Drosophila melanogaster: one gene and its partner. The protein of the gene in region 2 purifies or fractionates together with the protein of the main gene of each other region. This does not show direct contact. Each region holds a gene or a part of one and is shown on either strand. Other genes may lie near its edges.

The links. The genes of interacting proteins can lie anywhere in the genome.
Region 1: the proteins of Toll-9 (region 2) and wek purify together in Drosophila melanogaster (affinity purification with western blotting, with the first as the bait; one study listed by BioGRID). This does not show direct contact.

The regions. Positions count from the first base shown.
Region 1 is NT_033779.5:15,765,633-15,770,285, forward strand, and holds wek (weckle), read right to left. Parts: upstream 2,718-4,653; 5' UTR 2,600-2,717; coding exon 2,474-2,599; intron 2,414-2,473; coding exon 1,508-2,413; intron 1,448-1,507; coding exon 1,101-1,447; intron 1,037-1,100; coding exon 1,003-1,036; 3' UTR 501-1,002; downstream 1-500. Other genes in the region: CG3793 (uncharacterized protein), read left to right, coding at 43-79; Ku80, read right to left, coding at 3,107-4,653. UniProt on the Drosophila melanogaster protein: Acts as an adapter to assemble/stabilize a Toll/wek/Myd88/tube complex; required for efficient recruitment of Myd88 to Toll. Dispensable for innate immune response; plays a minimal role, if any, in the immune defense against Gram-positive bacteria and fungi.
Region 2 is NT_037436.4:20,361,298-20,368,321, reverse strand, and holds Toll-9 (Toll-9), read left to right. Parts: upstream 1-1,597; 5' UTR 1,598-2,182; intron 2,183-2,398; 5' UTR 2,399-2,403; coding exon 2,404-2,698; intron 2,699-3,425; coding exon 3,426-3,656; intron 3,657-3,759; coding exon 3,760-3,981; intron 3,982-4,196; coding exon 4,197-5,815; intron 5,816-5,885; coding exon 5,886-6,013; intron 6,014-6,074; coding exon 6,075-6,282; 3' UTR 6,283-6,479; downstream 6,480-7,024. Other genes in the region: in (inturned), read right to left, coding at 1-1,006; Prim2 (DNA primase subunit 2), read left to right, coding at 6,815-7,024.

The DNA.
Region 1 (4,653 bases), on a different chromosome or scaffold from region 2:
GTTTAATCAACATGATTTTTTCTTTCCTCTATTTCCATGCAGCGTCGAAGAGTTAATGTCCTCGCTGAACATTGACTAGGAGTGAGTGAAGGTGGAAGGGATAGAGAGCCAACCTACTTGGATGCACTATTTATTGACTCTGCTCGGTTTGGAGGAAGGCCATGCCAAAATATTTTGCTTCTCAACGTGTTAACCTAAACAGCAAGTAATTAAAGAGAAACCATCGAAATCAAAACATGTTTAGATATTTATCCTACACAGAGACCCACTCACAAATGATCTAATTTGTATTAATTTAGTTGTTCCTTATATTTTTTTCTCTTGTTACATTTTTATTATTTAATCGCTTAATATTTACTATTTTATCACCGAGTTGTGGCACAAAATATTGATAGGTGATCAATATGCCATTCATTCATTCCCCAATTTAAGTGTGCGTTTAAATTGTAAATGTATTTTGAAATTATTAAAAAAAAAACCAACTTAAATGCAAAAAGGGCCGTTGTGTGTTTAATTAGGTGTCAATGTATCTGGTGTTAGCACGAAGCATTTACATTTGCTGAGTTATAATTTCAAACTGATTTTATTGTGAATAAGCCCTTGGAATTATCTACAGACCAACTTGTCGCAATCTAGTGAACCATGCGTGGGAGTTCTATGAATAGCGCTCATCTTTAAAATATGCTGCAACCGCTCACAGGAGTTTCAATTGAGTGTTTCAAAGTGTACGCATAATTTGGTGTCACAAATTACAATTGTTATTTTTAAATCTACATTGTGAGTCAAACAATTATTATCTTTTATACAATGTCATTTTCATGTGTGAACACATTTCCCAATTTAAGTGTGCGTTTAAAAAGTGAATTTATTTTGAAACTTATTAAAAACCAATTTAAATGCAAAAAGGGCAGTTGTGTGTTTAATTAAGTGTAAATGTAAATGTCTCTGGGATAAAATTTTACTGCGCACTGCTATTTATACATTTTTGTCAACCAACATGGTCTAATCCTGTTTGGCCTTGGCCATCTCGCGAGTTCTGCAAACCAAAAATTTAGTACAATAGTAAGCTAATAATAATAATATGCATGACTATAGCTTACATCGCTCTCAGTTCTTCCAATGTTGGCACTGGAACACGTGAAGATTCGGTTTCATCCTCCTTGGACGCCAGTTCCGGATGTTTTTTCCATTTGTGGGAGCGACAGTTGGTGTTGCTGGCGAACGCCTTTCCGCAGTACTTGCATACGTAGGGTCTGAGGCCGGTGTGTCCAAGGAGATGGATCTTCAAGGCCGTGGAGTTCTTACAGCCGCTGCCACAAACCTCGCACTTGAAGCGCCGCTCATCCGTGTGCACATACTTGTGCTTGTTAAGAATCGCCCGTGTCTGCAGCTTTTTGCCGCAGACATTGCACTCAAACTTGGGCTCACCATGTGTCTGACTGTGCACCTGGAAATTGTATACAAATTTCAAGATTTAGTTGGTCCACAAGATTATTCGATGACTTACTCTCAGCCTAGCTTTGTTCTTAAAACCAGCATTGCAGACGGGGCATATACAGGGCTTCTCTTCCGTGTGAACCAGCTGGTGCTCCACCAGCGATGTGAAGGTCTTCAAACCCTTTCCGCAGTGATCGCAAACGTATTTCTTCGGACCGCCGTGCATGTCGTGCTTGTGCCTGCGCAGAGCCATGAAGGACATAAAGGTTTCGTTGCAGATTTTGCAGGGATAATCGACGAAATTCGAACTCTGGGAGCCATGGGGTGACATGCTCAATTCGGATGTCTTGTCATCTTGTTTGGATTTAGCATTGTCGTCTGGTTCGCGGGAAGTTACGTTATCGCTGTCGTCCACGTTTTTCTGTTTGCCTGAGCCCTTGGGTCTGCCTCTTTTTCGCTTCAAAGGCGGCGGGGATACGGCCTCGTCTTCGTCTAGAATGGCCTCCTCATCATCCGACTCGGTTGCAGTGTACACTTTGGAATTTCGCTTAGCCGCAAACTGCTGTCGGCGACTTCGTTTTGTTTCAACTTCAGGAATTGATGCAGTAGGTGAGGCTAGCACTTTGGGATCGGAATTACACTGTTTGAGATTAGCTCGTGTTCGCACGGTCTGTGCTTCAAAATCGGGTGACGGAGATGTGGAATGGTCTGATATCGTTAGCTCCTCTACCAAGGAACACCTATCCTCCGTATCGTCTATGTCCAGGAACTCGAGGTCCTGCTTGCAGGCCGGCGGAAGGCCGTATTCCAGACGCAGGGCGTCCAAGTCCTGGCTATCCTGCGGCTCCGAGTGTCGCAGAAGCTCAAAAATGGCTTGTACTTTGGAAACGCTATCCGAGAAGGTGATCAGCTGGCCAATCACCGAGTAGCACTCCTCGCACAACATGCTGCCCAGTTCCGGTTCCTCGAGGGTCATCTGCGTGTGTGGAAAACTAATGTATAAGCTATCTGTAGGCTGGGAAAACGAATAACATACCTCCACATCAAAGCATTTGCTGATAATCCTAACCAGATCGTCGTCCCGCTCGCGCACTTTGTATACAACGTCGTCGCGGGCGCACAGGCGACACCAGTATATCCAATCGCTTGTGGGAACTCCCATGGCTAATCCTCAACAGAAGCCCCACAGTTTGGTACAGTATGCCCTCGGGTTTTGACTAAATTCTATTGCCAAAGCGCTGATTAAAATCAGCTGTATGGAGCGGAATTCCGAATCGATTAATTGGTATGCGCACTCCGATGATTTTTGGAAATATCGATAAGTGCAAAACAACAAGTTGTTGCCGCCATTTTCAAAAAGTATTCAGTTTAAATTTGGAATTGAAAATTGTATTTATTTTACTTTTTTTTCTCAATCATAAGAAGTATTACTAACGTTTTCCTTCCTGCGTGTCGATGTTTATTAACATAGAGATGTATTATCATCATCATTTGGATGTGGTTTCCCAGGGATATAATGTTGTTTTTAAAACATGCGACCGAGTTTTTACTCTGGTATATATATATAAACAATATAATAATTTATTTTCGACTTACATATAAGAAAAACTGTGTATAACAAAAACTAATTTTAGCACATTTGCTTAATATAACAAAATGGAATGATAAACTACATCTCAACGTCTTCCATATCGTTCGCCCCACTCTCCACCCAATTCTCGATGGTGTAATAGGCTTTTAGAGCCAATTCGTCGTCCAGCGTCGGCTCGCCAAGCACCAAAGGGCCCAATTGCTTGTCGACCATAACGTCTTGCCAGAATTCGCTGCGATTCTTGGCCAGCGCGATCTTCTTCAGCTCCTCAGCGAACTTGTCGTATTCCAAAAAGGTGTTGAAGTCTATACAGCTCTGTCGGTACAGGGTGATGAGCTCGCCCAGTTGCCCGATGTTCTGTTTCCTGCGCTGCAGCAGTGTGATGATCACCACGCGGGTATCGGCAGCCAGCGCCTGAAAGCGGGCATCTCGCTCAGTGGCATTACTGATTGTGTGAACGCTAGCCAGGACTCGCCTGAAATCAGAGATTGGATCAATTAAGCCCACACCGTCTGATGGCAACGGGATTTCCTTCTCCGCTGGTTCCGACTTGACTGCCACACCATTCTCTGCCTGCTCCTTGGCCAACAGCTTTTCCTGCCAGGCGCGACTATAGCGCAATGGAAATAGCTTCTTTACGATGGCTGCCGCTCTCTTTGACTTCTCCTCCAAGGGATCTGGCACTCGCCAGAATACATCTGCGAAGTTTTTGTCCTTAAGCATTTTGTCTTCCTTGTCGTTATCATAGATAACTTTTCGCTCTAGGATGTCCATGACATTCTGCTCAAAGATGCTGGGAAGTGCGTCGAACGGCAGCAGATCATTCTGCGCCCACGGACGTGGCTGCTGCGTGTCCCGCAGTGTGCACTCCAGATCGGTGCTATCGATTAACTGATCAATGGCATTCAGCTGTTCCTCGCTGCACTCCGTCTTGGTGGTTCGCAGTGCCGGAAAGTCCCAGAAGTGGTGCTGAGACGTATAGGAAACTTCCAGCATATACAAAGTAGCCGGATGGGTATCGTCTGCTAAGCGGGGCAGTAGCACAACCATTTGCGGTCTATTAAACTTGGTGCTATATATTTTCCAGCACAGTATGGCCCGATCCGAAGAAACGAGAGCACGCACCAGAGCGTCCAGCTTCACGGCGGCAGATTGATTGTGCTTCTGATGCACCAGGAGGTACAAGGACTCGCCACAAAAGTACTCATCCGGCACGGCATTTCTTTTGATAAAGCCAAAGAAGTGGAGACCAGGTGGGTGTGGTTCCTTTGGCTCTAGCACGGCCTCGTCGTATGGCACCGGAGTGCCGCCCAGCATGTAACCGGTTATCAGATTCTCCGGCAGCGGGGTGATCTCAGTGCCTTTGATATAATGACGAGTCTCCCGTATCACTATCTCATCCTTTTCCGCCCAGACCTTTACCAGCTTTACGGGCGTCTGGTTCTTCATGGCGATTATGCCCTGCAGGCTAATGGAGATCTTGCTGCCGATGTTCAGCTTTGCGTTCCACACCCAGGGTCGCCGGTTGGTCACCTTGAAGACGGTATGCAGTGCCTCCTTGAAGCTGCACAACGTCGCATTGCAGCGAGGAACGAGACTGAGGGCGTACTTCTGGTTATTCAGCT
Region 2 (7,024 bases):
GCACCTGATCCACCAGCAGCCTTGAACTCAGCGGCTGGGTGTGCAGTTCACTGAGTACGGCGTGCAGGGTGAGGAAACTCCCACGGGCCTTGAATAGGAAGTTGTCGGGGATTTCCGGAAAGTAGTAGAGGGAATCCTGTTGCTGTTCATGCTGATAGCACTCCGGTGGGAGTAGCAGCATAGCAAAGGGCATTCTTATGTCCACGGAACTACCGGGAATACCGAAGTTCCCCTCCGTTATCAACATCTGCTCAAACTTCTCCGTGAACATGGGAAAGTTCTCCACCTTGCACACCTGCTCCTCGCGGACATTTCGATTATACCCCGGATCGGTGGGCGAAACTGCACTGGCCGCACCGCACGACTGGAAGCCTAGGCACACCTGAGTGGGCTCCACGAACTGCTTGAGCAACTCATCCACATTGCTGGCGTACACCTCTATGCCATTCAGGGATCTAAACCAATCTCCCCGCTTGATGCCGTGCTGCAGCGCACTCACATCGTGAACGAACCCATCGACCATCAGGCATTCTGGTTGGTCCGGAAAGGGCAGGACCCGGAAGCCCAGTATGGACTCCACCGCCGTGGATCGTCGTCCGAAACGGAAGCGATCAGCGGCTGTGATCACCAGATCCAGTTTCTTGGGATCGGGGGCAGCCGTCTTGAACTGTGAGAAGCGGAACTCTTGCGGCTCCGTCTGGCTATCCAACCTGCTCGGGCCGTGGGACTGGTTTTGGTTCTGACTCTGATTCTGATTATTGCTGTGCGGCTGGCGACGCGACGACTTCTTTCCCAGGCGCAGCGATCGACGCATGAACTCCACCCGCCGCTCTGCCGAGACGCCAGTCTTCTCACATCGCACATACTCCATGTAGAAGAGACTGCCGTCTGTGGACACGTACTCCTCCCAGTTGGCCAGGTCGCTGCCATCGCTGTACGAGTTGCTCAGCGAGGAGTTCGAACTGGAGAAGGCCTCCGACGGCAGGCTGGCCGGCGATTTGCGCATAGTTTACCGGGGATAGTTAACTGGGCGGATAGTTATTAGTGGCCTACTATTCCAGGTACACACTCAACTATCTGCCGCCGGTTGATACCGCCTCAGCTCAGCTCTGAATGTCGACTGAAAGCCGAGATCCGATCTCAGCACTCAAAACCAGTTTCTAATTGAGCTCTGGCTCCGACCAGCTCAATACCACTCCACTCAAATTCCAGCGGGAAACGATCCACTCCCTTTGTGATCTGGTTCTCTTTCAAGCTGGGGAAACTCAAAACCCACCGTGGGTTAAGACAAGTATAGTTACCATAATACAATAACCAATTTCTTTTCTTTTTATAAGTGTTCGCATTTAACGATTGGACTGCTAACCAGTTGATTTCAGCGTGATATTAAGTTATAAATAATAATCATGGAAAATCCTTATAAAAATAGAGCTCCGTCTGCGATATGCTGACTCTGCACAAAGTCGCATTGAAGATTTGGTGGAACTTAAAGCAAAATTGGTGTGCTATCATAAGGATTGTGTTAATCAGCGGAAGATTAGTAAAATGTTGCTTCCTCAATGGGTATCCGATGATCATTTGTCATAGGAGACTACCGCTGAAGTCCTATCTCCCAATAAATTATTTTACGGCCAATAAACTGTGTATGCATGATATGAAGGGAATTGATATAATTAATTGGGCATTTGTGGACCCGGGTGTTTTAGTGGCCACCTTTTCGTATCGCCGATGGTCTGATAATCTAAGATTTTCCAAGTGATTTTTTTCATATCGGTCTCCGGACTGGACGCCGTAAATCAAAACTTTTCTATCTGCAAACAATCGAGTAGTATAGAAAATTGTGTCTCACTGAACTCACTATGTGCTGGCCAAAAGCGAGCCGTGGCTATATCGGTTGATCCGGAGCACCGATCCCATTGAAGTACGGGCCTAATAGCCGTACTCCGACGTCCAGATAATTATCCGATAAGGAACATGGCGTGGGCGTGAAGCGGGACGCCCAGTGCCACCGAAAAAGCGATACGCTGATAGTCCCGGGCCATTCAAGGGAAGATATTGCCAAAATTGATAAGCCGTATCATGGCAGAATTAGCCGCACATGTGTACCGCAGCTACCTATTATTTCTGCTGACCATCGGAGCAAGCTGAGTCCTCCAGCCAGTCCATTGCGCGAATCCAAGGCGTGTGCTTCGCCCAGCCGCAAATAAAGTGATTTGCGGGAAATGTCGGCCGCGGTTAACTATCACAAAATGTGGCTTAGATTTCGGAATACCCAGTGAAACTGAATGAGTGGCTAAAAATTGTATAGAACGCGATTATCTGTGTGATTGTGAAATCAAACAGCTGTCAAATCTTATTTATAATCCCCCATTACAAGCACTATAGGTGCGCAATTCAGTGAATATGTGTCCAAAATATATATGGGATGTGATCGTATTAGTATGCCTGTTCCTTGGAAACGTAAGGGAAGCATACACCGAGTTTTCGATCCAGGATGGCTTGATAATAGAACCAGATTCAGCCACAACATCCAGCGAAGAGGCCGAAGAGGTCAGCAAGGAGAGAACGGACCTCAAATCCCTCATGTTGAAGTACGAATCGGATGATGGGAACAGTTGTCTGCTGGATCTGATCAAGGACGAGGTGATATGGTGGCAGTTTCCCAACGGAACCCTCAGGGACAGCACAAAGAAATACGGTAAACCTATCCAATAAAGTCCAATAAAAATCCCTGCCCAAGTCTCAGTTTGATTGGGCATTGTTAACAGCTCTCGAAACTATATACATATACTTTCACGCTTCCGGCAACGCGGATCGACTGCTTATAGAAGGTCTTTGATGTTAGCCTAATCCCACCAGAATCGGTAACATTATTATGGAACCCCTTATCAGTGAAAGCTCTGCATTACTACACCCAGAGAAATTTAAAAAAATACCGATATCGGTTGTGTTCAGCGTACTCAGTGGCATCAATCATGCTCATTAGAAGAAACCTTCTTGATTTCGAGACGAAAACGATCTCAATGTTGATATTTTTTGGCGGAAGCAGTATCGGGTTTAAAATTGTGGAAGAGAGAGAGAGAGAGAGAGAGGCAAATGAGACCAGTCATTTGCAATCTGAGAACGGTTCGATCTCGATATGAGCATGATTTGATCCTTGCTAGATTTTAAGATCAAAAATCTCATATCAAGATCGTTGAGAACAGTCTTTTCTCTGAGTGTAGTAGCTTGGGCTGGATTTGGCAAAGCCACTCGCAACTATATGGATCTTAGCGATAATAAATTGTATCTCTTCGAATGTTTACACCCGGCACTTTTTGAACTTAGCCTTTATCCCCATAGTATCCGATACTGTCACTTTTGAATATGGTAGATTCACTTATAATTTATAGGTTCTGATCGTACCTTTAATTACTTATTTAAAGCGCACAAATTGTATTTGGATCTATCCCACGGTAATCTTAAGGACGACTCTGACCTATTCCGAGAAGCGAAACTTTCGAGGAAGGTTACCATTTGGAGGACAGAAGTCTTCTCGGCCGCATTCAATACGTTGACTGCAGCTCCGTTCAGGACGCTCTACTCCATGAGGGAATCCTTGAAGCTTTTATCGCTGCGAGGAAATAACTTTGCTGAACTGATTCCAGATGCTGAAGGTAAGCTTGGCCGGGTTAGATCATTGACCATTTAGTCAGTTGTGGGAACCGGAAACGCAATGGCACACGTATTCTGATGTCCAGTTACCATTCGCCGTTTCAGACTTTGCTCGATTTGTAAACGAGTCCCGCTTGGAGGCTAGTAACTCGGTACCACACCATTGTGAACTACTACTTTTACACAATACCACCGATCTGTATGATCGGGAATGCTATCTATACTTTAACAACAACACAAACATGGGACAATCAATCACAACCGGTAGAAACTATACGAACTTTATTAAGGTCTTAAAAGATCGGTTCGATCAGCACGGAAGTTCATGTAAGATCTCAACGCAAACACAATTACACAGCAAAGACGTTTTCCTAAAAGTCCTCATGCCACATTTAATCACAACTTGATATCCGTCATTTCCATATTCCTGGTTTCATATCTGTTAAAAGGTTCTAACTATGTAACTTAAGGAGGAAGGGTTTAATTTTTAAATATCATGCCATAAATACTTCTAACACGTGAATTCCTTATCTGTTTCCCAGCCCAATCTATAGCCTGGGCCACTTTTCCAAAGATGCCCCGACTTGTGGAGCTGGACATCAGCAACTGCAGCATCGAGTACGTGAGCAAGGAGGCGTTCCGGAATGTCAGCAATCTGCGGAGGCTCTTCATGTCGGACAACAAGATCATGACGATAAGCCACGACACTTTCTACTACGTCCAGGGAGTGCAGTATCTCGACCTGTCCTTCACTAACTTCCTGACCTATAGCTACCAACTGCAGTTGCCCACTCTGGAAATGGCCTTAAGCCTGATATACGGCCTGAAGATCCAGCAGAACGTGTTCAAATATCTGCCGGAACTGATTTACCTGGACCTCTCCCACTCGAAAATGACCAGGAATAGTGCGGTGGCTTTTGCCCATCTGGGGGATAAGCTGAAGTTCCTCAGTCTGTGCTACACTGCCATTCCCATGGTGAGCAGTACCATCTTCAAGAATACGGTTCTGGAGGGCCTCGACTTGTCCGGAAACCCCTACCTATCCTACAACATCATCGACGACGCCTTCGATGGCATCGCTAACACTCTGAAGTATTTGTACTTCGAGCGATCGAATATTAAGGATTTAGAGTGGTCCAAGTCGTTGAAGAACCTTCAGGTGTTGGGCCTCGCGGGTAACAACATCAACGCTCTCACTCCCGCCATGTTTCAGTCTCTGGAGTCCCTGGAGATCCTCGACTTGAGCTCGAACCATGTGGGCAATTGGTACCGCAGTGCCTTCCACAACAACTCCGCCCTAAGGGTTTTGAACCTGAGAAGCAACACCATCAACATGCTGTCCAACGAGATGTTGAAGGACTTTGAGCGATTGGATTACCTTAGTCTCGGGGACAACGACTTTATTTGCGACTGCCATTTGAGAGCGGTGGTGGAGGTGGCGGCCGCCAATAATAAAGATGCAGACTGCTCCTATAGACTGCTGAACTATAGTCAGAATGCCGTAGGTGAGGAGGTAATATCTCTGGCGGAGTCACTAATTATAGATCGCAAGCTATGGCAGAGTCGCTATATTCCCTGGCTGCAGAGAAGTTACTCCAACATCAGGGAGTTCAATCGCGCGAATCATATAATCAAGCTGCGCTTCTCCTCCGAGGACTACATGGTAGCCAAGTGCTCCGCGGCCCAGCCATACCACTTAGGGGACCTTGACGGAGATCTTACCCTAAAATTTCAGCTGCTCGACTACGAGGCCAGTCAGTATTACTGCTTCAACAACACCGATCAGCTCCAGGTGGATGAGCTCAACTGCCAGATCAGGTCGATGAGTGACCTCGCCGAGGAGTTGCACCACGTTACGAACACAGTGATCGCAGTCATGGGCAGCTTAGTTGGCGCTTGCATCCTGGGATTTATAATTTATCTGAAGCGCTGGCACATCCACTACTATTACTCTTCCCTGAAGTCCGCTGCCTTGTTGTCCAGTGCGTCCAAGGAGTCGGTGAATAAATTCACAAACATATCCCAGAGAGATCCCAGTGCCGTCTACGATATCTTCATCAGCTACTGCCAGAATGATCGGACCTGGGTGCTCAATGAACTGCTGCCGAACGTGGAGGAAACTGGGGATGTGTCCATTTGTCTGCATGAAAGAGATTTTCAGGTGAAGCGTACTTATCTTACAACATTAACTTACTAATAAAGTGAAACCTTAACCCTTAATTCACATGCAGATTGGAGTGACCATCCTAGATAACATCATCTCCTGCATGGATCGCTCGTATTCCCTTATGCTGATCATATCCTCCAAGTTCCTGTTGAGTCATTGGTGTCAATTTGAAATGTATTTGGCACAGCATCGGTAAGGAATCTTTATCTGTAAAATTCAAATATTAAAATCAATATATGTGTGTATATTGTAGCATCTTTGAGGTCAGCAAGGAGCACTTGATCCTGGTTTTTCTGGAGGACATTCCACGGCGAAAGCGACCCAAGACTTTGCAATATCTCATGGATGTGAAAACGTATATAAAGTGGCCGACGGCCAAGGAGGATCGAAAGCTGTTTTGGAAACGTCTGAAGAGATCCCTGGAGGTCATAGGGATCAACTCCAGAGAGATCAGTGTTTAGAAAACATGTAATTTTATCCGGAGAGTTCTAGTCAGTTGTGCACGTACCTGATATAGTATATAAACTACTTAATTACACTTTCATGAAGACGAAAGTTTCCCCACAGTAATCATAGTAATATGCAAAATTTGCTGCTGAACATAAGTATAGTTTAAACATATATTAATAAATAAAGGTATTTAGGTTTTTAAGAGCTTATGTGATGTTTTTGAAATATCTTAACAAAGGCAATAGCGTCGTATATTAAACATAACCTACTACTACTGGACACTATGTAAACAAAGCTAAGGCCTAAGAAATATCTAACAATGCAACACACAATCAATACATCAGTACCAATTGACTGATAATAACAATTAAAAACGTTTAATTTTGAAATACAAATTGAATAAACCGCAAGCATCGATAATGAGCAGAAAACTATCGATAACAACTGACACAGCTGATATTTGCCATCAGTAGTTTGCGCGCCAAAACAACAAACGGGCATTCCACAAATTGTAAATTACTATAGCAATTCCCGCGACTCACAATGGAGTTTGGTCTGAAGAAACGCGCGAGACATGAGGTGAAGGTGGAGGTGGCCAGCCTGGAAACCAAGTACCCGCACAACGTCATGCTGTACCACTATCCGCCGACGGAGGACGTGCACATAGACGAATTCGAGGAGCTGGCTCTAGAGCGCTTGCGCCTTCTCCGCGTCCTGGATCGCGCAAGCACCCGGAACCTGCGCGTGCTCTCA